Linked DNA regions of Tamandua tetradactyla. The protein of the gene in region 3 interacts with the protein of the main gene of each other region in a biochemical or structural test. Links are inferred from orthologs where the notes say so. Each region holds a gene or a part of one and is shown on either strand. Other genes may lie near its edges.

Region 1 (7,026 bases), about 3.5 Mb from region 3:
CTTGAATGCATGGGGGTAAGAGAAGGTGAGGTGTCAGTCATCCATTGTGGTTACAAGTTTTTGAGTCTGGGAGGCTGAAATAATTGTTTCAGATTTCTGCAGAAGTGGATTTGAAAGGTCTAAGACTTGGTTATCTGGGGCCCCATAAAACTGTCTCCAAACCTCTCTTCCTGCCTTCCCAGGGCCTTACATGATAGCTGAGAGAGAGAGAGAGACTACTTAAGTTTAGTGTGTTTGATGTTTCTATTTAAACGTGTGAACCCTTTGGCATTTATTATGATGCAGGTAATGAGATAGGAATCAGACCTTATTTTTATTTTTACTTTTTTAAATTCACACACAATTGGCTTAAACCATCTACCTTGTGTGTACTGAATTGACAGGTCACCTTAATTATCCACTTCATTTCCTCGTGTTTTGAGTCTGAATCTTTAACTCTCTGTTCTGTTCAACTAGTTGTCTTTGTAATTTTCTCTTTATGTTTGCTTTATAATATTTTGACAAACAGGCCTAGATCTCCTCCAGTTGTTATGTTCCTAAAAATAATAGTATTCTAATTAGAACTATACTACATTCTTAGATTAATTGGGCAGAGTCTTCCCATCTCGGAACAACGCTTCCATTATATCCTTCAGGACTCAACCAGTATTATTCATGTGGTTTTATATATGCCTTGGTAAGCATATGTGAGGTCATAAAATGAGTTTCAATAAATTAAAAAATATTGAAGTCATACAATATCTCTTCTCTGACCATAATGGAATGAAGATAGAAATTAATAACCGAGGAAGAAAATTCACAAATATGTGGAAATTAAACAATGCATTCTTAAACAACCAATGCATCAAAGAAACCACAAGGGAAATTAAGAAACATCTTGAGGCAAATGAAGACAAAACACATGACACCAAAGTTTATGGGATGCAGGAAAGGCAGTGCTGAGGGAGAAATTTATAGCTCTAAATACTTATATTAAAAAAAAAAAAAGATCTCAAATCAGAGACCTAACCTCACAACTGGAGAATCCAGAAAAAGAAGAGCAAACGAAAATGTAAAGTAAGGAGAAGGAAGGAAAGAACAAAGATTAGAGTGGAGATAAACGAAACAGACAATTAAAAAAATAATAAAATAATTGAGAGAATCAAAGAAACCAAATGCTAGTTATTTGAAAAGCTCAATCAAATCAACAAACCTTTAGCTAGACTGACAAAGGAAAAAAAGAAAAATAAAAAATGAAATGGGAGGGGCATTACTGTAGACTCCATATTTTGTAATTTGCTCATGTCGTTACTAGAAATTACATTTATGTCCAAGCACCTCCAAAGCATTTACTGAAAACTTGCTTGGCCTTGTGAGTGGGAAGTCAGTGGGGGGTGGGTAGGGGTGAGGTCACACTAAGACTATGAGCTTGTTTTCTGCCTGACAGATGTTCTTAACTTGTTCCCTCAGAAATCATCTTATTTATTCTCTCATCACACCTCATCTTGAGGTCAACAACCTGCGTATTTCATCACAAATGTACTCATCTCTCATATCCTTTTGTTTTCCCAAGTCCTATTTTCTCCATGAAATAAATGAATGATCATTTGATGACTAACCATGTTTTTTGTTTTGTTCTGTTTTATTGTTTTGTTTTGCTTTTTTAACATTAGCGATGACAATACAGACATAGGCAGATTGGTACTATTATTTTTTAACTTGGTCCATGAAAACTGATGATCTGGTAATAGTTTTTAAAATTGTCATCCTCACCAGTACTAATGTTTTTTTTTAACAACCAATAAGGGATTCTAACACTTCATAATAAATCTTTGTTATTTTACAGCCAAGATGGACATAATATGTTTACATTTCTTGAAGCCCAGGATGTATCACTTTTGCAGAGAGGGATACAGTTAAGAGAGGCTTTTTATCTTTAGCTTCTAACTAATTCTCACTACCCTTCCTCAGCAGAATGCTAGATCTGAAAAAGAGTTTATGGACCATCTCAAATCCAAAGTCATAAAAAGTCCTCTATAATCCAGATGGTTTTGACCTGTCTCTCCTTTTTCCTCCTCCAAGGAATTTGCGACTGTCTTCAGAGACTTGTGTAAAGTTTGCATCCAGTTTGGTCACATGATCAACAACCTTTTATAATGGCAATGTTAGAGGACAGGATTGATACACCCTTTGTAAGTATACAATGTTAAAATACACTTTTATTTTGTTTTGTAATCATTATATTTCAGGATGCGTGATTTGAACAGAATTTTACCAATTTTGCAAACTGGAAGTTAACGATGTTCTTTATGTATTAAATGTTTAAAAATGAGAATGAGGCCATGTAGGTTTGAGATAACATTTCAAGGCAGCATCTCCACTGTGCTTCCCGTGGCATAGGTGGTAACTCCTGAATTCTAGCCCCTGTTACCTCTGAGTATTTACTACCCTCAACAAAAGTCTCCTAAGTTGTTTAAATGCAAGAATAGTTTTGCACCACGCTTATAGCATTGTTTACACCCTCTACAGGACCAAGCCCTAATTAAATACTGGCTGGTTTGTGTTGATGGGAAGATTTAAGGCTCCAATGCCTACAGGGGCCAGATAATGTAAATGAGCAAAGCAAACAGAGCAGGGAGCAGTAAACTGGAGCTTGAAGCCCCTCTCAGTGGAGTGGCAGCCAGCTTATTCTCCACTTTTGGAAAACAGACTCAGAGCTTCTGATTTGTCCAGAGGCCTTCCGTATTTAAATGGTGACAATTAATTAAATTTTTCAAAAGACACTTTGCAGATCCATACTGAGAGCCCAAGCAAACAAATCTAGGGACCTCCTTAGTTCTCCATGGTTAGTTTGCAACCTCTGCATTAAATAGTGCCCATCATATAGGAATATTCCTTTTCTAAGAAACTGATGGTTGGGACGGTCATACAAGTTGTCAGTGGCGCTGCTCTCTCCTTATAGTGAACTTCGGTAATTGACTAAAATGTCAATTTTCACCCCAGTATTCTGGCCAACTAATAAGAATACCTGCTTTGTAAGATTGTTATGAGGATTGAAAAAACGCATGCCCGCCTCTTTAGCATGTTATCCCTTCCTAATTACTTCTTTTCCTCAAAGTAACGGAATTGCAATGGTACAAGTAATTTCACATTCTCAAATAGCTCACTGATACCTCCAGGAAAGCATTTGGAAGCTTTCTATATGATGCCCAGTCTTTCTGTGTTACTGAACATCCAGAATGGACAATATCGACCTTCTGTCTAGACGGACTAGGCTCTAACATTTAAAATCACAACCTTAATTCCGGGCGGAGAAACACCTCCCGCCCTCGGGCATCCGCACGCTCTCTCACATACACCCATCCCCAACTCCAACGCAGTGTTCTCCTGCTTTGCTCCAGGGTTTCAGCTCCGATGTTTCCATTTCTCCTCAGATCTCATATGGCCTCTGATACTCTCTCTACTGGTATCAAAGCTCTGTTCATTTTACTTTACTGCAACTAACCACAGGCTCCTAGTTCGTAAACCTGCTTTTTCGGAGCTCTTTCCAGGGTTTGTTTACCAGAAGTCTCTAATTGCCTATGCACGATAAGGACGGGAGCCGGGCCTCCCCCACCCCCAACTTCCCTGCTAGGAAAACCTTTGGGCTCTCGAGCCTGCTAGGACCCGCCACTATTGCAGCTCACTCTCCGTCCGATTGGTGCAGATTTTCAATGCGACCCCACCCTCCTCCTTCCCGTTTATTAGGAAGATAATTAATTTAGGGGCAGGGTCTGGCCCGCCGATTCCCGACTCCCGGGACTGTTGCCGCCTGGCCCGCCGTGCGTCCTGCGCCCCCCGCGGCGCGTCGGCGCCGCCACGGGGCTGGAGCGTGCCCGGGCAGGTCGCGCCCAGTGGCGCGGGTTTCCCGAACCAGCTCCGGGCCGCGCGCTGACTCCACCCATAGCGGGGGGGGGGGGGGCGGGGAGAGGGCGGGCCTGTCAGGATTCGCTATGTCACCGGGAAGTCCCTTTACGACCAGAGCGCGGGCCCCAGAGCCGTGTCCATAAAAGTGGTCGGGCCCACACCGAGTCGGGTTAGCAACTCGGCGTTGCCAGCCACCGCATCCCGCCCGGCCGCCTCGCGCATCCGGAACTCGCCGCAGGTGCTCGCGTTGTGGGATTGAGTTCCCGGTTGGGTCGGCAGCGGAGTTCCCGGCGGCTGCTGGAGAGATGCCTGGGAAGAAGGCGCGTAAGAACGCGCAGCCGAGCCCGGCGCGGACTCCGCCAGGTAAAGGACTACCTGGGGCCGGAGAAAGCCGGGTCGGGGTTGAGGTCTAGGTCGGAGTGGGGTCAGTCCTTCCCTCGGCCCCCGACTGGCTATAGAAGCTCAAGGTCGGGCCAGGTCTGCGCCCTCGCACGTGCCTTAGGGGCGCCTCGGGAAAGTTGTTTAGAGTTTCTCCCCCCACTCCCCGCAGGACCGTGAAGTTGGCGAGGGAGAGATTGGGATGCAGCTGCGTTTTAGCCGGGGCGGAAAGCCTCTTGCCCGTTCCCACTGTCATCCCTCTTTCCCTGCGCTGTGACCGTGGGGAGAAAAGTGCAAGTTCTGGCGGCTGTCTCGGGGAGAAAGTCATTGTCCTGGCAGGTGGGGGCGGAGCGGGCTCCGGGAGCAGCATGGCCTCCGCGCGCTTCCCCGGGCCCGCGCTCCGCCTTCTGAGTCGGGGACCTTTGAGGACCCCTGCTCGCTTACCGCGCCCTCCTCAACCCTTCCCAAACGTGAACCCCAACTTTTCCCTACACAGTAAAACACAAAAACAAAACCAAAAACAGAACCTGGCGCTATCATAGCTCTTCCCACGCAGGACTGACCGAGGGTTTATGGAGGTCCTGCAAAGACTCCCGCGTTCAGGAACCTATAAAGTCTTCCTTCTTTGTTGCTTAAGACAGCGCTTTTTGACAATTGACAATAATTGCGGAGGGTGGTGTAGGAGAAAACTCGGAGTGATACCCAATGCTTTTTCATCCATTCATTCCCCCATCTGTCACACCTCGCAAACAGCTCGGTCAGGTAAATTTCAGGTCGGTTCCCCTCCACCCCATATAAATCTTAGGAAAGAAGGCAGCCATCTGGTAAGGGGCACCGGCGAGGAAGACGCGCGCCTCCGGGTCCTACTGTGATTACATCAGACAGTTAATAGGTCTGTTACTTAGTTTCATTTCATAGGGCCCGCGCGTGTGCAGGGGATGTGGTGGTGCATTGCTAATGTGGCCATCGCTGAGTAGGGCCAGGACACCCTTTGGCTGCTGCTTGGTGTGGAAAAGCTTTGTTCGTCGTTTGTCAAGTCTAAGAGTTCTGACCATGTTTGCGTAAAGTCTAGCCTGTGCCTCGCCCCCTCAGCCATCTTACTTAGCTTCCAGTAACAAGGGACAGCAGAAAGTCCCTCTTACACTTGCTTAGATAATAATACATTTATACATGTGTAACTAATAAAAAAATTAAGGAAACAGGAGCTACTAGGAGCTGCTTTCTGCCCCTTTTTGGGTAAAAGGGATAATTTTGGCTCTTAGAATTCAGGGCTCCCGAAATTGTATGCTGAATGGTTTGGGTTTGGGGGGAGCTGTATGTTAATGTATCCCTCTTTAAGGAAAAACATATGTCTTTGTAAATGCTTCTCAAAGTCTTTGCAGAAAACCTGACCCCATTGCCTATAAAGAACGACATTTTACAAGCTTTATTAGAACCCCTTGTTAGCGGTTAGGAAGATTTCACTAAGTTTCCATAGAGAAAGAAATTAGTTGAAATGTAGGTTTAAAAATCTGCTTTACTATCTGTTTTCATTTATTTCAAGCTCAGTCACCAGATTTCATTTATAGTCATAATGATTTTTAATGTTCATAATCATAGTTTTGAAGAGAACCAAAAAGACTCTGAGTTGCTCTTTGAAATACTGAAGAAAATTGAAATTATGGTCAGTAGAGATTTAGGATTAATTTCATGTACTTAAAAATGCACTTAAAATTAGATTGTACACATTTTTCTTAAATTAATATTTAGTTATAGTACCTCCATTCTTAAAAATGTAGGTAAATGTGTAAGTTAAGCATCGCTTGTTTTCTGTTTCATTACTCACCCTTCATAAAGGCAATGGATTGGTACAGAATGGGAAGACATTGATTCTAGAGTCAAATGTACACTTTTAAATTATTTTAGACACTTTGGACTTAATTTTGGCGTAAGACTGCATGAGCCTTTTATGAAATAAGTGCAAAGGATGTTTTTTAAAAATGAGGGAAAGAACAAACTTAGATTTGCTTATTATCAAGAGTATAACCTAAGCTACCAATTATTGGCATTTGGAAAGTAAATCCTACTTGAAAACAACACAAAAGAGTTTAGAACTTGGCTTCTGCTTCCTGAGCTACCTAAAATAAGAGAGAAAAGGATATCACCTGGGGTTGGTGAAGACTCACTAACAATTTGTGGTGCCTGACATTAAATTCCATATTTGAGAGTAAGAGTAAGATGACAGTTGCCTCATCCACGATGCCTTTTTAAAAAAAGATTCCAAAGTAAATGTGGTTTTAGCTTATATTATTTTAAATTTGAGTCAGAAGGTTTTAGTGTATGATCTGTGTGTGTATGTGTATTTGTTCTAAGTGACCTTTTTGCTTTCAGTGCACCAGTGTACCTAACCCTTCAAGGCATAACTAGTCAGTTTGTTACTTTGAGGGGCACTTTTAACTCTTGTTGGTTACGGTTTGGAACCCTGTTGACTGACAGCAGTGTTTTGCTTTCCTTTTTCAGAGCCTGAGGTTGAGTGTGCTACTCAACTCAGAAGAATTGGAGATAAATTGAATTTCCGGCAGAAGCTTCTGAACCTGATAGCCAAACTCTTCCGCTCAGGAACCTGATTGCTACAGAACCATCCAAATGAGGAGACTCTTCAAATGGAAGATTCCCGAGTAGGTGCAGATTTCAACAATTAGAGAGAACATGAGGTGCAAATCGCTTGCTTTTGGATGCCCTAGGATATGAAGACGGAATATTTAAAAAATGAATTGCTGTTGG
Region 2 (7,461 bases), on a different chromosome or scaffold from region 3:
CACCCTCTGCCACCTCAGTTAAGGGCTACTCCATCCCTGCAGGGGCTCAGGCCAAAAATTTGGGGGCGCCCCCTCCCCTTGACTCCTCCTTCTCAACCTTCACCCAGTCGCCAGCAAATCACACCAGCTGGACCTTTCAAACAGACCTGGAATCCAGCTTCTTCTCACCACCCGCCGCTGTCACCACCCTGGCCCAACCCCCCCTCTTTTCTTTCCTGGATTATTGCGACAGGATTATCTCTGCTTCTGTTTTTGCCAGTTACAGTCTCCCCTCAACCCTGGTGATGGTAATGCCCCAATCCCATCACACCCTCTCAGCTCAAAGGCCTTCCAGCGTTTGCATTCGGGGTTAAAGCCAAAGCCCTTCCTTCCAATGGCCTTCCAGACCCAGCCCAGATTGCCTGTGCCCGTCCCTGTCCCTTGTCCCTTAACTCTTTTACTCTCCTCTCCAACTTTGTTTCCCCTCACTGTCCCCTCCAGCCATAGAAGCCCGGGACAATGCAGTCACTACCTTGCCCCCAGGGCCTTAGCATTTGCTGTTCCCGCCACCTGGAAGGCTTTCCCACAGGTATCTGCCGGAACCTCTTGCTTCTTAGCTAGGTTGACCACCCCATGCCCTAGGGCTCCACATTCTCTTTTCTCTGCAGCTTTCCCTCCACCCACCCAGCAGCAATACAAACCTCTATCACATTCTGTAATTTCCTTTGTCGGCTTGTTTGTTTATGGCCTGTCTCTCCCCATCCCACTAGAGATGTGAGCTCCACAAGGCCAGGATTTTTATTTCTTTTGCTCACAGATGTAACTGAACAGTGCGTGGCCCACGTCAAGCACTCAATCGGTGGAGCATGTGAATGCTGCCAGGGGAACCAAAGGATGAGTACTATTGCTAGGTGTGTGTGTGTGTTGGGGGTGAAACAACAAATAAAAAGATCTGGAAATTATTAGAGTGTGTGTGTGAGCGAGGGGTTGGGGGGGTTGAGATAGAGGCTGCATAAGCTTTCATGCTCCTGAAGAAAACAGGGACTGGGATCATGTTTTTGTTTTCCAGAAGGCCTCTGGGATTGTCCCAGGGCAGGGACCTAGGCCTGTGCTGAGCACGGGGGACTACTGAGAAATGTCCCCAGCAGTGGGCCTCAGTGGATGCAAGGACAGCCCAGGTTGCAGGGGTACTTCTACTAGCATCTTTCTCAAACCCCCACAGGCCCCGCTGCCTGGGAGAGCTGTCTACCACTTGGGGTCACCTGCCCCTGGCAGCTGAGGTTAGCCCTGGAGTGGGCAGGAGCTGGAAGGAAGCTAGAAAGCCCAGTCCCAGGGAAAGAAGGCAGCCTGGGGGTGGGGTATAGTCTGCGGCAGGGCATAGCCTAGGGGCAGGGCACCAAGGAGTCTCCCAGCCCCACCTACCAAAGGAACCTCCATCAAGCAAGTGTGGCCTTAGGCAAGTCACTTCCCCTTTCTCCCTGCCTGTTCTTTTGATTTGTCCTGGCCCTACAATAACAGCTATGTTTTCTTCCGAGCAAGTACTCTGCATCAGTACTCTATAATTTAGTGCTTCCTATATATTGCTGCTAATACCCAACAGCCTTTGAGTGGTGATGAGTGTTCTGTTTTACAGAAGAGGAAAACCGAGGCTCAGAAAGGTTATGGACTTATCCAAAGCCAGTCAGTGAGTGTCAATGTGGCTGGGGTACAGGGGGCTATGAGGGCCAGGTGGTTGAAGAGATTGCCTACCTCCATGGTGGCTGCTGCCAGCTGGCTGCCCCTGATGACCGCTGTCGTCTCCCAGGAGGCCTGGAACCGTGTGGTGGTGCTTGCACAGGCCTGAAGGCTGGTCCCCTGAGGCTCTGGGGCCCAGATCCCTATCTGCAAGGCTGGAATCTTCCCGCTCAAACTCTGGGATCTGGAACATGCTCCGGGCTGTGGGGACAAGAGAGTGGGTGGTCAGGGCAGACAGCTGGGGCCGCTGCGGGTGGGGGGCAGGTACCCCTGGCTCCCTCCCTACCCGTGGAACCCGCAGATCCGGCCTGCCTCCCAGGCCCCCCATCTATCCTCAGAGTCTGGCCCGGATAGGAGGAGCTCAGCCTATCCACTCAGTACCCAACTCTACCATCGGGCCCTGGGGCTGTGAGGCAGTCCCCGGCTCGTTCCCGGCCAAGGCAACGGCCCACAGGTCTCACCCTAAGCCCAATCTCGAGGCCCCTGACCCGGGCCCGCCGCCTCCCTGCAGTACTCAGGGCGCCCGGCCCTAGTTACCTGGGCAACGGGAACTGTCACTGACCGGACCCAATAGGCTTTTGCAATGTCACTCGGGCCGGCCGCGAGGCGTGGCCAAACCGGGCCCCGCCCCACCGCCCGTCCTGCCCCTCGCCTTCTTCTCGGGTCCCGGGCTGGTCCCTGGATGCTCAGCTCCCAGCTTCCTCACGCCTGGGGTGTGTGCGGAAGCAGGTGAGGGATTCTCTGGAGTCCCCGTTTGGAGCCTGGAGACCTGCTTCTGCTGACAAGTCCTTCCGCCCCTCTGGGCCTTAGTTTCCACCCGTCTGGATTGGGGATAATGACACCTCCCTCAGCAGCCAGTGAAAACTTTGTAAACCGAGCAGTGATTGCTGGGGGCGAAAGCACCAGCCGAGGCCGTACTTGATGTCCAGCCGCGGCTCCAATTACTGTTACTGCTCGGTCTGCACTGGGTGACCCGGTCGGGAAGTCCCGCGCCCTCCTCCTCCCCAGCGTGGAAACCCCGCGCCTCCCGCAGCTGGGGCACCACTCCCGGCGCCGTCTCGGGTGCGCTCGAGATAAGAGAGGGAGCCTCGCCCTGGCAGGATGGCCGCCCGGGCTCAGGAGAAAGGACAGGGGCCCCTGTGAGGGCGAACCGTAGGGCTGGTGGGGCGGCGTGCAAGGCTCTGACCAGGTGAGCGGGAGCCGCGGTGGGACCCCGCGGGTTAAGGGCCCGGGGGCGGGGCCCGGGGAGCCATCTTGACTGTGGGCGGAAGTGTCCTTCAGAGGCGAAGTCCCCGCCCCCGTGCGGGCGGCGCGATCCAAATCGGGAATAGGGGAGGGAAACGTGGGAGCCCGCGCAGTGGTCCAGGCCACGGCGCCCCCCCAGGGCGTACGGGCGGGTGCGGCGCCCTCCCCGCGTCCCTGCCGCCCGCCACCTCGCGTAACCCCTGGCACCCGCCCGCAGCGCAGCTCGCGCCGATTCTCGAACCGCCCCACGGCGGGCGCGGCGCGGGGCTGCGGAGCCAGGGCCGGCCCCTGCGCAATTTGCGTAGCGAACGGCGCAGGCGCAGGCTCAGGAGGGGGCGGAACAGCGGGAGCCGGGGAGCTGGAGCTCCGGGTCCCGGCGACCGGAGCCGGCTCCCCAGCGGCGGCCGCGGGCACCCGGTGTCGGCCTCTTCCCGCCCCCCGCGACCAGAGAGCGGACGCGGTGGGGGGTGGGGTGGGGGCGGCGTCCGGAATCCCGAGAGGGCAGAGGCGCTCCCCCCACCCCGATTACTGGAAGGGAGCGAGTTCCCTCCCAGCCTGGGGAGGGGGAGAGCGGGACGTTGGGGCACCCCTGCAGTGGCCGCTGTCCTGAGCAAACGGACATAGGCCAGCTCTCCCCCTCCTGCTGGGACCCTCCCGAGCGACCAAGGCCTGGGACCCCTCTCCTTCAGCATCTGCACCCCCACACCCAGGGTTCTGGGGGTGGCCCAAGGAGGAGACCCCCGTCTGCTCTGGAGAGGAGCGTATGTCCCTGCGTGAGGAGCTCCGGCTCAGGGCCCAGGCTGTCGGTGCCCCCCAGGTGCAAAGGGTCTCTCTGGCACGGAAGAAGGGCCTGCGCCAGCCACAACTTCTTTCCTCCTGAACTCCCCCATCTCTCTGTCTCAGCACCCTGTGATCCTCTCCCCTCTGTATTTATTTCCCTGGCTGCCGGCCAGCCCCTCCATCTCTGTCTCCGGGATTCGGGCCGCCGTCCCTGCCATGGAGAGTAACCTGTCTGGCCTGGTGCCTGCTGCTGGGCTGGTGCCTGCGCTGCCGCCCGCCGTGACCCTGGGACTCACTGCAGCCTACACCACCCTGTACGCCCTGCTCTTCTTCTCCGTCTATGCCCAGCTCTGGCTGGTGCTCCTGTATGGGCACAAGCGTCTCAGCTATCAGACGGTGTTCCTGGCACTCTGTCTGCTGTGGGCTGCCTTGCGTACCACCCTCTTTTCCTTCTACTTCCGAGATACCCCGCGAGCCAACCGCCTGGGGCCCCTGCCCTTTTGGCTTCTCTACTGCTGCCCCGTCTGCCTGCAATTCTTCACTCTGACCCTCATGAACCTCTACTTTGCCCAGGTAACTGTCGGAACGGGTGGTGTTGGAGGGTGTGTGTGTGTGTGTGTGTGTGTGTGTGTGTGTGTGTGTGTGTGTGTGTGTGTGTGTGTGTGTAGTGAGGGGCCCCCAAGGGCTGCAAAGACTGATGGGCATCTCTGCTCCCAGGTGGTGTTCAAGGCCAAGGCGAAGCGTCGGCCAGAGATGAGCCGAGGCTTGTAAGTACTCAGGGCACCGGGGGGGCTTGGGCCACCTCCCACCCCTCCTCACCTTGCTGGGCTGAGACGAAGACCTTCAGGGAATGTGTGTGAACGAGCTTGGAAAAGTTAAAGCACCTGGCACAGGTGGCGGGACTAGAGGCGTTGCGTGTGTGAAGGGCAACAATAATGGAAGCAGCTGTGAGCCTGTAAGGGCCAGGGGCGGCGGAGGGGGGTGTGCGCGATGAGGGTCTCATTGTCTGAGGAAAGGCAGGAAGCACCAGCCCATGGGTGCTCCAGAGTCAGACTGCACCTCTGGGTGACACTGGGCAGCAATGCCCCTGTGGTTTGTAAGAATATCTTAGAGTTTATAACAGAGCCGTCACAAACCTTTAAGTTTTACAATTAGCCTGTGAGGTCCTTATTATCCCCATCCGGGAGATGAAGAAACCGAAGCCCAGCCAGGTAAAGCAGCAGGTTCAAGGTCACAGAGCTGGCGGGAAGCAGAGCCAGGGCTCAAACCCAGGTGTCTGATTCCCGGTATCACAGCTGTCAGATCGCCTACCGACCTCTTTGGGCCTCAGTTTCCCCATCTGTCAAAGGGGAGGAGCAGGTCCCGACGGGCTCTGGGGTCTCCGGGGTCTCCGTGGGGAGGTGGGGTGGGCGGTGGGAGCCGGGGGGCCTCTACCTGGAGCCGACCGTGCTGTGGGCTGCAGGCTGGCTGTGCGCGGGGCCTTTGTGGGAGCCTCCCTGCTCTTTCTGCTGGTGAACGTGCTGTGCGCTGTGCTGTCCCACCGGCGCCGGGCACAGCCCTGGGCCCTGCTGCTGGTACGAGTCCTGGTGAGCGACTCCCTCTTCGTCATCTGCGCGCTCTCTCTTGCTGCCTGCCTCTGCCTGGTGGCCCGGCGGGCCCCCTCCACCAGCATCTACCTGGAAACCAAGGTAGGCCCCGAGGCTCGGATGCCCCGTGTATGGAACCGCGGTCCTCAGGGTAGAGAGGGAGCCGGGCGCTGCCTCTCCCTGAGCTGTCACAAACCTTTGCCAGGGGACCAGTGTGTGCCAGGCAGCTGCCATGGGTGGCGCCATGGTCCTACTCTATGCTAGCCGGGCCTGCTACAACTTGGCAGCCCTGGCCTTGGCCCCGCGGAGCCGGCTGGACGCCTTCGACTACGACTGGTACAACGTGTCCGATCAGGTGGGCATCCTGGAGCAGCCGCAGCTCCCGGCTGGCCCGCTGGTCCATTGGCACCATTGCAGATGGGAACAAGCCCTGTACCTTCCTTCCTTCCCCCAGGCGGACCTGGTGAATGACCTGGGGGACAAAGGGTACCTGGTGTTCGGCCTCATCCTCTTTGTGTGGGAGCTGTTGCCCACCACGCTGCTGGTGGGCTTTTTCCGGGTGCACCGGCCGGCACAGGACCTGGTGAGGGCCTCCAGTCCACCCCACCACCACCCCCCGCTGCAGGGCCGGTGGAGAGAGGGCCAGATGTGGCAGTGCCAGGGGCAGGGGGATTTATGGGAGGCCAGTGGCAGCCGGGAGAAGGTGCTGAGGGTGGTCTCCTCCCCCTAGAGCACCAGCCGCATCCTCAGTGGGCATGTCTTTGGCTCCCGTTCCTACTTCTTCGATCGAGCTGGGCACTGTGAGGACGACGGCTGCTCCTGGGAGCACAGCAGGGGTGAGAGCACCAGGTAGGAGTCCCCGCCCTGCCTCGGGAGCCTTGGGCACCTACAGCCTGGTCTTGTCCCCCCATCGCTGGCCCTGGCTGGGTTCTACCTCTGGTTTTTCTATTGCTGACCCCATGCCCCGCCCCATCCCAAGGTGCAGTTTGCAATGGTCTCGGGGGCTCAAGCCTTGGGCCCTGGAGGTCTGGGGCATGGGGCTGCTCCCCGGGAGCTCCTCCCAGCATGCTCTGTTCTAAGCCTCGGTCTCTCCCCCAGCTCCCATGCATGTGGCCCCAGTCACTGTCCTGGGACTGACCCTATTTCTCTGTCTGCAGCATGTCAGGCAGCCTAGGCTCAGGCAGCTGGTACGGCGCCATCGGGCGTGAGCCGGGCTGGTGCGGAGGCAGCCAGACGCGGACCTCTCCTCTGCTCTTCTCCCAGGTGCCGGGACCCGGCGGCCACCACCACTGTCTCTATTCCACCCCACAGACGTGAACCCCCACTCCCCTCCTGCTCCCCAGGATGCCCAGACCCCAGTCCCCCTTCACCCAGGCCCCTGGGCCAAGTTCATCTGCAGCTTCTTGCCTGGGGTCCCGGGGGCTGTGGCTGCCTGCTCCCCAGCGGGCTCCCTGGCTGCTCCTGTCGTAGTGAGCTTGTGCCGTCCCCCCCACTTAGGATGGGGGCCTGGCCGTAGCTGCCACATGCCCACAACACGCCGGCATGAGCTGCTGCCTCCGCGTCCACGCCGGAGCCAGCTACCTCTCCTGCATCAACCACTCAATAAACAGCGTCTGTCTCCTGTGTCTGTTCTTCTGTCCGTCTTCTCTTGACTGCTTTGTATTCTTCTCTCATCTCTGCCTGTTTGGTCAGCCTTGGCCTGAAGAGGGCTCCTGGGCTGAGAAGGGCTGCTGCCCTCTGCTGTGGCTGGTGGGCAAGGAGAGGGTGCCAAGGAGGGAAGAGAGACAGGTCTTTGTTCTCCCAGGCTCCTTTCCCCAAGACTTGCTTCAGATGTCACCTCCTTTTTGAAGCCTGCCATCTCCTGGTCAGGGAATGGTGGCTCATCCCCTAGGGCCTGTAGCATGGTGATTATGTGGCTATTATGCCTCTTACCCCCAATAAATGGGAACTTGGGGATACCCTGTTTCCTTCTCACCACCCTCAACCTGGCGTCCAGTTGCCAGGAGTTAGCCCAGGGCCTATGGAGGTGTTAGCATGGTGACCGAGCAGCTTGTGTCTATCAGGGCATGCATTTGGCTAGGTGGGCTGGCTGCCCCCCACCCCGCGTCTGCCTGGTGGTCTTGGGGTCCCCTTCTTT
Region 3 (7,382 bases):
TATATCCCTGTGTTAAAAATGGGCATGGAGAGGCTACTCACTAGCTCAAGGTCACAGCCACGACTGATGGGGCCAGGATTCAAACCCCTGATTTCTGGTTTCTGAGCTCTGAACCTCTGCAGTGAACTCCAAGTAGCAGCACAGGTGGACTCTGAAGACAGCTAGCAAGGTTAAGGATGGTTTTGCAGAGGAGGGAATTCTTGGGCAGAAACTTGAGCAATGAGTATGAATTAACGGTGTGTAAAGGCTGGGTTCATATGTGCTAAGGCCAGAGACATGAGAGGGACTGGCATATTCCAGGAACCACAAAAAAATGAACACAGCTTCAGGAAGGCGATGTGGAAGGAAAGAGTGGGCGTTGAGGTGGTAGGGCTGGGCTGGATAAAGTCATGCAAAGGGGATGAGATTTCAGCCTTTGACAAACTTCGAAAACAAAAGGACCAGATTTTAGCTGTTGAAAAATCGTGAGACCCATTGAAATTTAGTTCTAATGTTGCTGAGCCCTTAGGCCTTGGAGTAAACCCTCAGACCTTGTTAAGTTTGAAAGATACCATGTTAACCTAGGTTTTTCTAGTTGCTTTCATCAGCAATGAATATCTGGGAGATACTGTGCTTTGTCCTAAATAGCTTAAGAGGATAAAAGTTAGTTATTACCCATAAGAATGTAAATTCTTTGCCTACTCCACCTCAGTACCGTGCTATCTCATGTTGCTTGTTTCTGTTGCTGCAGTTTCAATCCAATGAGAGCACCAGGCATTTGAAAAATATTAAGAAATTTAAGACAGGTTCTACCCTTAGTTTTTTGAAGCTCAAATGCCAAGTCTTTAATTTAATGGGAAAAGTATGCTACTTGTGAATTACTAGGCTTTCCTTTGTAAGCCAAAAGCAAACATTTGCCTGCTCTTAAGCTTCCACAACAGAGTGATTTATGTGTAGTGTGTTGTTTAAATGTTTGCTGTTTAATTATTCTGAACATATTTTGAGGTTTGGGACCTACCATAAATAAGGTGGGGTTCTAGGTTAAACCAAGCCTTGTTGGCTTAGATTTGGCATCGTGTGGCTTTAGGGCCCACAGCAGGCTTGGATGCTCTGCAGCAGAAGGCAGGCTCAGGGCATGAATGAATCGGAAACAGGATTCATCAATGGGGCTTGTATGAAGTTTGTCTACAAACTATTCAAACACTTTGGTCAGGAAGGTAAAGAGTGTAGCACTGTTCAGTGCAAGTTTATAATGTACTTGAAATTGGAAACATTTAGAACATTTTGGATTGCTTTTATAGATCTGCGGGATCTCGTTTTTTAAGCAGTTCATTTTTTCTCATAGAAATTGTTTGGACTACTTGTTTTTACTCTCTCTAGTCAGTTCCTTTTGTTTATGTATTTATTTCCATATTATAAAAATTATGGAGTTTGCCTAAATGGTTTGGGGGTCATGTTTTACATTTCTAACTTTTTCACATCAGTTCCCTCTCTTTTAATGGTCTCGTTCTATCCTGATTTTAAATACAAAGTTAAATGGTTGGGAAGATGCCATATATATGCCTATATTGAACATTAGTATGTCCAGATTAGAATAATAGGAACATTAATATTGGTGATGGATGAAAATAACTTTCTAAATTATACTGCTAAACATCAACCAGTAGGTGGCGAAATCTGGCAATAAAAGCTTTTTGTTTGGCAGATTGGGAATAAAAAAGAAAACAGGCCTTTCAGACTCTTGAGACAATCTCCATTTCCTGCATCTGGTTCTTTTCTCCTCCTGGTGCCACCCTACCCTGAGAATCAAAGCTGGCAAAAGGGGTCATCCATGGGATCTTAATGGGAGGAGACATCTGGGAAAGAGAAGAGTCCACAGCGCATACCTGTAGAAGGCTGCTGGAAGGTCTGGGTCCCAGATCTCGCCACCAATCCCAGAACTGCTGGCTCAGGCCAGTGTTCCATCTACCACCTCATTACCCAGAGACAAAGGGTTAACGTTACATACTTCCTGGGAATGCTCGCCCTTATGATTTTAAGTGGATTCTGTTATGCATGGGCTCTGAACAGAATAGAATTACTCTTTGGATTGAAAGAGTATCCAAAACATTCCAGGGACTATATAACCTTAGAAAAGGACTGTGATGTAGATATATCTGGAGAGAGGTGTTTGGTTAGAGCCAAGACACCATATGAGGAATTATTCTGGGAAAACTCATAAGGTGAGGCTTCATGAGAGCAAACGAAGGGAAAAATATAAGGGAGCTTTTCGTTCCTTGGGAATAGGAGATATTCCTCCTGGTTGCCCCCTTCGCGGAAGTACAATCTCTTTTCCAGCCCTAGAGCCTCTAATTTCCTCAAAAACAGTAATTTCCTCTCTCTCTCACAAGTAATTTTTTTGGGTTTAAAACCAGGATCTAAGAAGATCCAAAGGGAGTAAACTACAATGTTGTAGAATTAGAATGATTTTGACTATTTCTTTGAGAACAGATACTGAAGTTCATTCTATAGCAGGGCTGTCTGCAGACACCTCCGCACTGCCCACCAAGCACAGGGGGCTTGGGCACAGCCCTTACACGGTGGAGGGAGTGTCTTGCTTCCTTCCCTCTTGCTTGGCTAAGAGGTTTGTACCAGGGCATCCATTCCTATGTGTAAGATGTTTGCACACTGGCAGATTGGGGTGGTAGATGAAGAAATGAAAAAAAAATGGTGTGCTCATTTTGCTTTAAGAATAAATGCTTTGTTTTTAGACTAGGAACGAGACAAAATATCGGAGACTGTGCCAGAAGATATTTGCACACATTGTAGTACTCATTTGTCATGTTTCTGTGACACAGTAACCAACTGTCCCTATATATTTGTACTTGAGCCCTATTAAGTAAGCTGCTGTGCTTTTAGTAAACATTTATTTCTCGGTGCTTTGTCAGACTCAGAGACAAAAATAGTGAAACGTGTACAGCTTGTTTGTCCTCTTGTCCTTTTCACGAAACTAAGAACTATTCCAACTGATGAATTAAAAAATACTTGCGTATGTATGTATTTACATATATGTACGTGTACATATACTACGTATATTACATATAATCTGAGAGGCTGAGTCCCGTAGGGCTGGCTGCTTGGCACACGTGGTGGAGGCCTTTAGAAACCCACCGACGCCGGGACCGCGATTGCGCGGGCCTGGAAGTTGCCATGCAGCCCTTCCCAGCGTCCAGCCCTGAGCCAGTGCCCGAATCATCAGGACCAACGCTGACCCAACTGTTTTAAAGCCCTTGCTAACCACTGCTCGCCTCTTCACTAGCCCGCTGAGGGTTAGGTCTGGCCTTTGTCGCAGATCGGGTCCTCAGGTTGCCAACGCGCCGGAGGCGGGTGGGTGTGGGTTTGGGCGTGTGTCCGCGCGCACGCGCGCGCGGGTATATGTGCTGCGTGGGCAGCTCGGAAGCGACTTGAATGTAAACATGCTTCGGGGCTCCCCTCGCTAATGAACGTGCAGAGTCGCCTCTTCACGGGAGGGCAGCACTGAGGTCCCCGCTGGTTGGGGGCAGCAGCGGCCCGGGTCCTCCCGGCGGCCGCGGGCTGGTCACACACAGGCGCGCGCACCCGCGCACGCGTACACACACACACATACACACACACACACACACACACACACACACACACACACACGGTTAGGAAAGCTCAAAGCGATTCCCCGGTGCCTTTCCGGGCTTGTTTCCCTGGCGCGCCGCCGGGCCGCCCCCTCCGCGCTCCGCCGCTGCCCGGCCGGCCTCGCGCTCTTCCCTAGGCGCCCCGGCCCCCGGCGCCCGCGCAGCCCCGCCCCGAGGCCCCAGAGCGCGCGCCCGGCCGCCGCAGGCCCGAGGAGGCCCCGCGCACACCCACCGCGCCGCGGCCGCCCGGGAGGCCTGCGCCGCCCGCGCCACCCACTGGCCGGCCCCGCGGGCAGGCGGCGGCCCCGAGAGACGGCCGTGCGCGCCATGTGTCCGCGCCGCTCCGGGTCCGGCCGGCCGCGGGGCCTTTAACCCGGGCCCCGGCGCGGGGCGGCTCCGAGGAGAGCTCTTTCTTTCTTCTTTTTTTGAATGAACCGTGTGACGTACGCACAGGAAACCAGGCGGGTTGAGTGGAGAATGAAGTCAGAGGCCAGACCCCCCGCCCGCGCCCGCCCCCTTCCTCCCCGCCCCCTCCCCCGCCCGCGCGCCCGCCCGCCCGCCCGCTCGCCCGCCCCCGGCGCGCCCGCCCCGCGCTCTCGGTTTCCCTGCCGAGTTGCCGCTATCGCCGCCGCCGCCACCGCGAGTGGAGGTGCCCGGGCGCCGGGAGCTCCCCGCCGGCGCGGCCGTCCCCGCTCGGAGCGGGCTGCGCGGCCGAGCAGCCGGGGAGGCGGGCGCCGCCGCCACCGCGCGGGAGGAGGAGCAGGAGGAGAAAGGGTGCGCAGCCCGGAGGCGGGGTGCGCCGGTGGGGTGCAGCGGAAGAGGGGGTCCAGGGGGGAGAACTTCGTAGCAGTCATCCTTTTTAGGAAAAGAGGGAAAAAATAAAACCCTCCCCCGCCACCCCTTTCTCCCCACCCCTCGCGGCACCACACACAGCGCGGGCTCCTCGCGCTCGGCACCCGCGGCCCGGGCGCGTCGTGCCTGCATTTATCCAGCAGCTTTTCGGAAAATGCATTTGCTGGTCGGACTTTAATCCGAAGAGGATTCCTGCCCCCGGCCGGGGCTCGTCCACCGTGCCCCCTCCCCCTGTTTCTCTCCCCCCGGAGGCGTGAGGCAGCCCCGTGGATGGGGATCCGGGTCTGTGCCCGCGCGTGTCTGTGCGTGTGTAAATTGCCGAGAGGGGGAAATCACAGGACTTCTGCAAATACTGGACTGAAAATTGTAATTCAGCCGCCGCCGCCGCTGCCTTTTCCTCTCGTGCTCTTGAGATCTCCGATTGGGATTCCTACGGATTGACATTTCTGGGAAGCAGAAGTCGACTATTCAATTTGGAAATTCTCCTCATTTTTTCAGCCCGCTCCCGACTCCTGGTTCATTTGCAAGTTTCTCAGCAGCTCTAACCGGAGAGTTCTGAAGATCGATGGGATCTTTGCCTTATGCATTGGTTTTGTTTTTGCAAAAAAGGAAACTTGACAGAGGATCATGCTGTCCTTAAAAAATACAAGTAAGTTCTTTGCACAGGAAATCGGTTTAATGTAACTTTTAGAGGAAACATTTGCGATTTTAACTTTAAGTGCGGTAGTGGACGTTTAATTTGCAGGCAGTTCAATACATTCTTTTTAGCCATGTAACTTGTAATGTGTCTGCTCTGCTTTCACCCGTGCATAAAGGAAAATGCACCTGATTGTGACTTACTAGTGTTCCTTCTTTTTCTTTTTTAACCTTTCAGCATCACGGAGGAAGTAGACCGATATTAACGATAATTAATGCTCATCATGTGCCTCATGAAATAAAGATCCGAAAGGAATTTCAATCTAAAAATTTCCTGCATCTCATGCCAAGGGGGAAACACCAGAGTCAAGTGTTCCGCGTGGCTGAAGACACCCCCTCATCCAAGAATGCAAAGCACATCCAATAAAATAGCTGGATTATAACTACTCTTCTTTCTTTCGGGGCAGTGGGGTGGGAGCGGGGGCGAGAGGGGCCGTTGGTCCCGGGCTGCTGTTGCTCGGGGGAAGGATGGCGCACGCCGGGAGAACAGGGTATGATAATCGGGAGATAGTGATGAAGTACATCCATTATAAGCTGTCGCAGAGGGGCTACGAGTGGGATGCCAGAGATGCGGGCGCCGTGGCCCCGGGGGCCGCCCCGGAGCCGGGCGTCTTCTCCTCCCAGCCGGGGCACGCACCCCCGCCCGCTGCGCCCCGGGACCAGCCGGCCAGGACCTCGCCGCCGCCGCCCCCGGCCGCCCCCGCCGCGGGGCCTGCGCTCAGCCCGGTGCCACCTGTGGTCCACCTGACCCTGCGCCAGGCCGGCGATGACTTCTCTCGTCGCTACCGCCGCGACTTCGCCGAGATGTCGAGCCAGTTGCACCTGACCCCCTTCACCGCGAGGGGACGCTTTGCCACGGTGGTGGAGGAGCTCTTCAGGGACGGGGTGAACTGGGGGAGGATCGTGGCCTTCTTTGAGTTCGGTGGGGTCATGTGCGTGGAGAGCGTCAACCGGGAGATGTCGCCCCTGGTGGACAACATCGCCCTGTGGATGACCGAGTACCTGAACCGGCACCTGCACACCTGGATCCAGGATAACGGAGGCTGGGTAGGTGCACGTCTGGCTGCGTGTGAGTCTGTGCATGACGTCTGACGTCCGAAGTGCCCCGGGCACGGGGGGCTGGGGGTGAACTCCGGGGTCCAGCGCAGGCTGCTGAGCCGGTGAAATCAATTCGGGGTGTTTGTTCCCCGCTCCCTCCCTCTCCCTTCCCCTCTACCGGGCTTTCCCTGCCAACCCTTCTGTGACAAATCCTTCCCGCCAAAAGTGTTTTTCCTTGATTTGCCAGCCGTTGAATGTTCAAAGATCCAGCCTTTGCTACCCAGTGGGATCTCGTGATAAACTGTGTTCCTGAAGTGTTTCTCAGACTGTGATCCAGGGATCCCCTGAAGCGCGGTTATCTGGTCTGGGTAGCGTGTTGACTTTGGAGATTGCAGGGGCTGCTGCTGCCTGCTGAACTAGACCCCAGTGCTGGGTCCCCCAGGAGCTCCCTCTTAGACACGCCCCCCCGGGGGGGGGGTGCTGCTGTGTACTAACGATTGAGAACCACTCAGAGGATCTAGGGGGGTGCCTTTCTGACTTTCTTGGTAAACTCTACCAGAGAGAAGAACCACTCAAGCCCCTCTTCCTGGAATTCGTAAGTGCGTTTGTAAAGAGCTAAGGTGACATTGGAAAAGCTGATGGACTGCATGCAGTGCGTCACTTTCCCAGCCGTCCTGAGCATGTGCCTTGAAGAACACCGGGATAGGATGCTCGGTTTATCTCATGAGTGACCCTTTGCACAGGCTGCGTACTTGACGTTCCATTTCTATCACTGGTGTGTGGTTTAAAAGTTCTCTGGAATTTTGGTCTCTTTTACTTTTCACCACCTAGAATCCACATCAGTTTGTGGTCTCCTTTGCTGAGAAAAGCTGCATCTAGGGTATCTGTGTGAAGCATAGATAATCTGATTCTTACCTGTGGATTCTCTCCTGCTCTGCCTTTCGTGGAAGTGATCAATGCCTGTAGTTTTGAAGAACAGCTGTGAGATGGTTTTCTTTTCCTGGTACTATACTAGATAGAGCTTCCATCATTTTATTGTGCAGCTGCTCTTTTCTGTGGACTTGAGGGGAGGGATGCAGGTCCGAAGACATAAGGATTGTAATTAAGATCTGCATCTTCTATCTAAAGTTAATTTATGAAAATTCATAAAGTTAATTTATGAAAAAGTAAAAG

The links. The genes of interacting proteins can lie anywhere in the genome.
Region 1: the proteins of BCL2 (region 3) and PMAIP1 interact in a biophysical measurement, tested with the Homo sapiens proteins (2 studies listed by BioGRID and IntAct, with this or other methods). The link is inferred for Tamandua tetradactyla from reciprocal best matches to the Homo sapiens genes BCL2 and PMAIP1.
Region 2: the proteins of BCL2 (region 3) and BAD form a complex in vitro, tested with the Homo sapiens proteins (5 studies listed by BioGRID and IntAct, with this or other methods). The link is inferred for Tamandua tetradactyla from reciprocal best matches to the Homo sapiens genes BCL2 and BAD.

What each region holds. Positions count from the first base shown.
Region 1 is NC_135344.1:22,426,019-22,433,044, reverse strand, and holds the start of PMAIP1 (phorbol-12-myristate-13-acetate-induced protein 1), read left to right. Parts: upstream 1-4,004; 5' UTR 4,005-4,190; coding exon 4,191-4,248; intron 4,249-6,762; coding exon 6,763-6,869; 3' UTR 6,870-7,026. UniProt on the Homo sapiens protein: Promotes activation of caspases and apoptosis. Promotes mitochondrial membrane changes and efflux of apoptogenic proteins from the mitochondria. Contributes to p53/TP53-dependent apoptosis after radiation exposure. Promotes proteasomal degradation of MCL1.
Region 2 is NC_135335.1:10,363,510-10,370,970, reverse strand, and holds the start of BAD (bcl2-associated agonist of cell death), read right to left. Parts: upstream 3,023-7,461; 5' UTR 2,900-3,022; exon of another isoform or gene 2,865-2,899; intron 2,825-2,864; exon of another isoform or gene 2,000-2,824; intron 1,915-1,999; 5' UTR 1,907-1,914; coding exon 1,729-1,906; intron 1-1,728. Other genes in the region: integral membrane protein GPR137, read left to right, coding at 3,722-3,775, 3,862-4,311, 4,456-4,505, 5,201-5,426, 5,530-5,679, 5,779-5,907, 6,055-6,173, 6,482-6,641. UniProt on the Homo sapiens protein: Promotes cell death. Successfully competes for the binding to Bcl-X(L), Bcl-2 and Bcl-W, thereby affecting the level of heterodimerization of these proteins with BAX. Can reverse the death repressor activity of Bcl-X(L), but not that of Bcl-2.
Region 3 is NC_135344.1:18,921,639-18,929,020, forward strand, and holds the start of BCL2 (apoptosis regulator Bcl-2), read left to right. Parts: upstream 1-4,360; 5' UTR 4,361-5,124; intron 5,125-5,349; 5' UTR 5,350-5,639; coding exon 5,640-6,218; intron 6,219-7,382. UniProt on the Homo sapiens protein: Suppresses apoptosis in a variety of cell systems including factor-dependent lymphohematopoietic and neural cells. Regulates cell death by controlling the mitochondrial membrane permeability. Appears to function in a feedback loop system with caspases.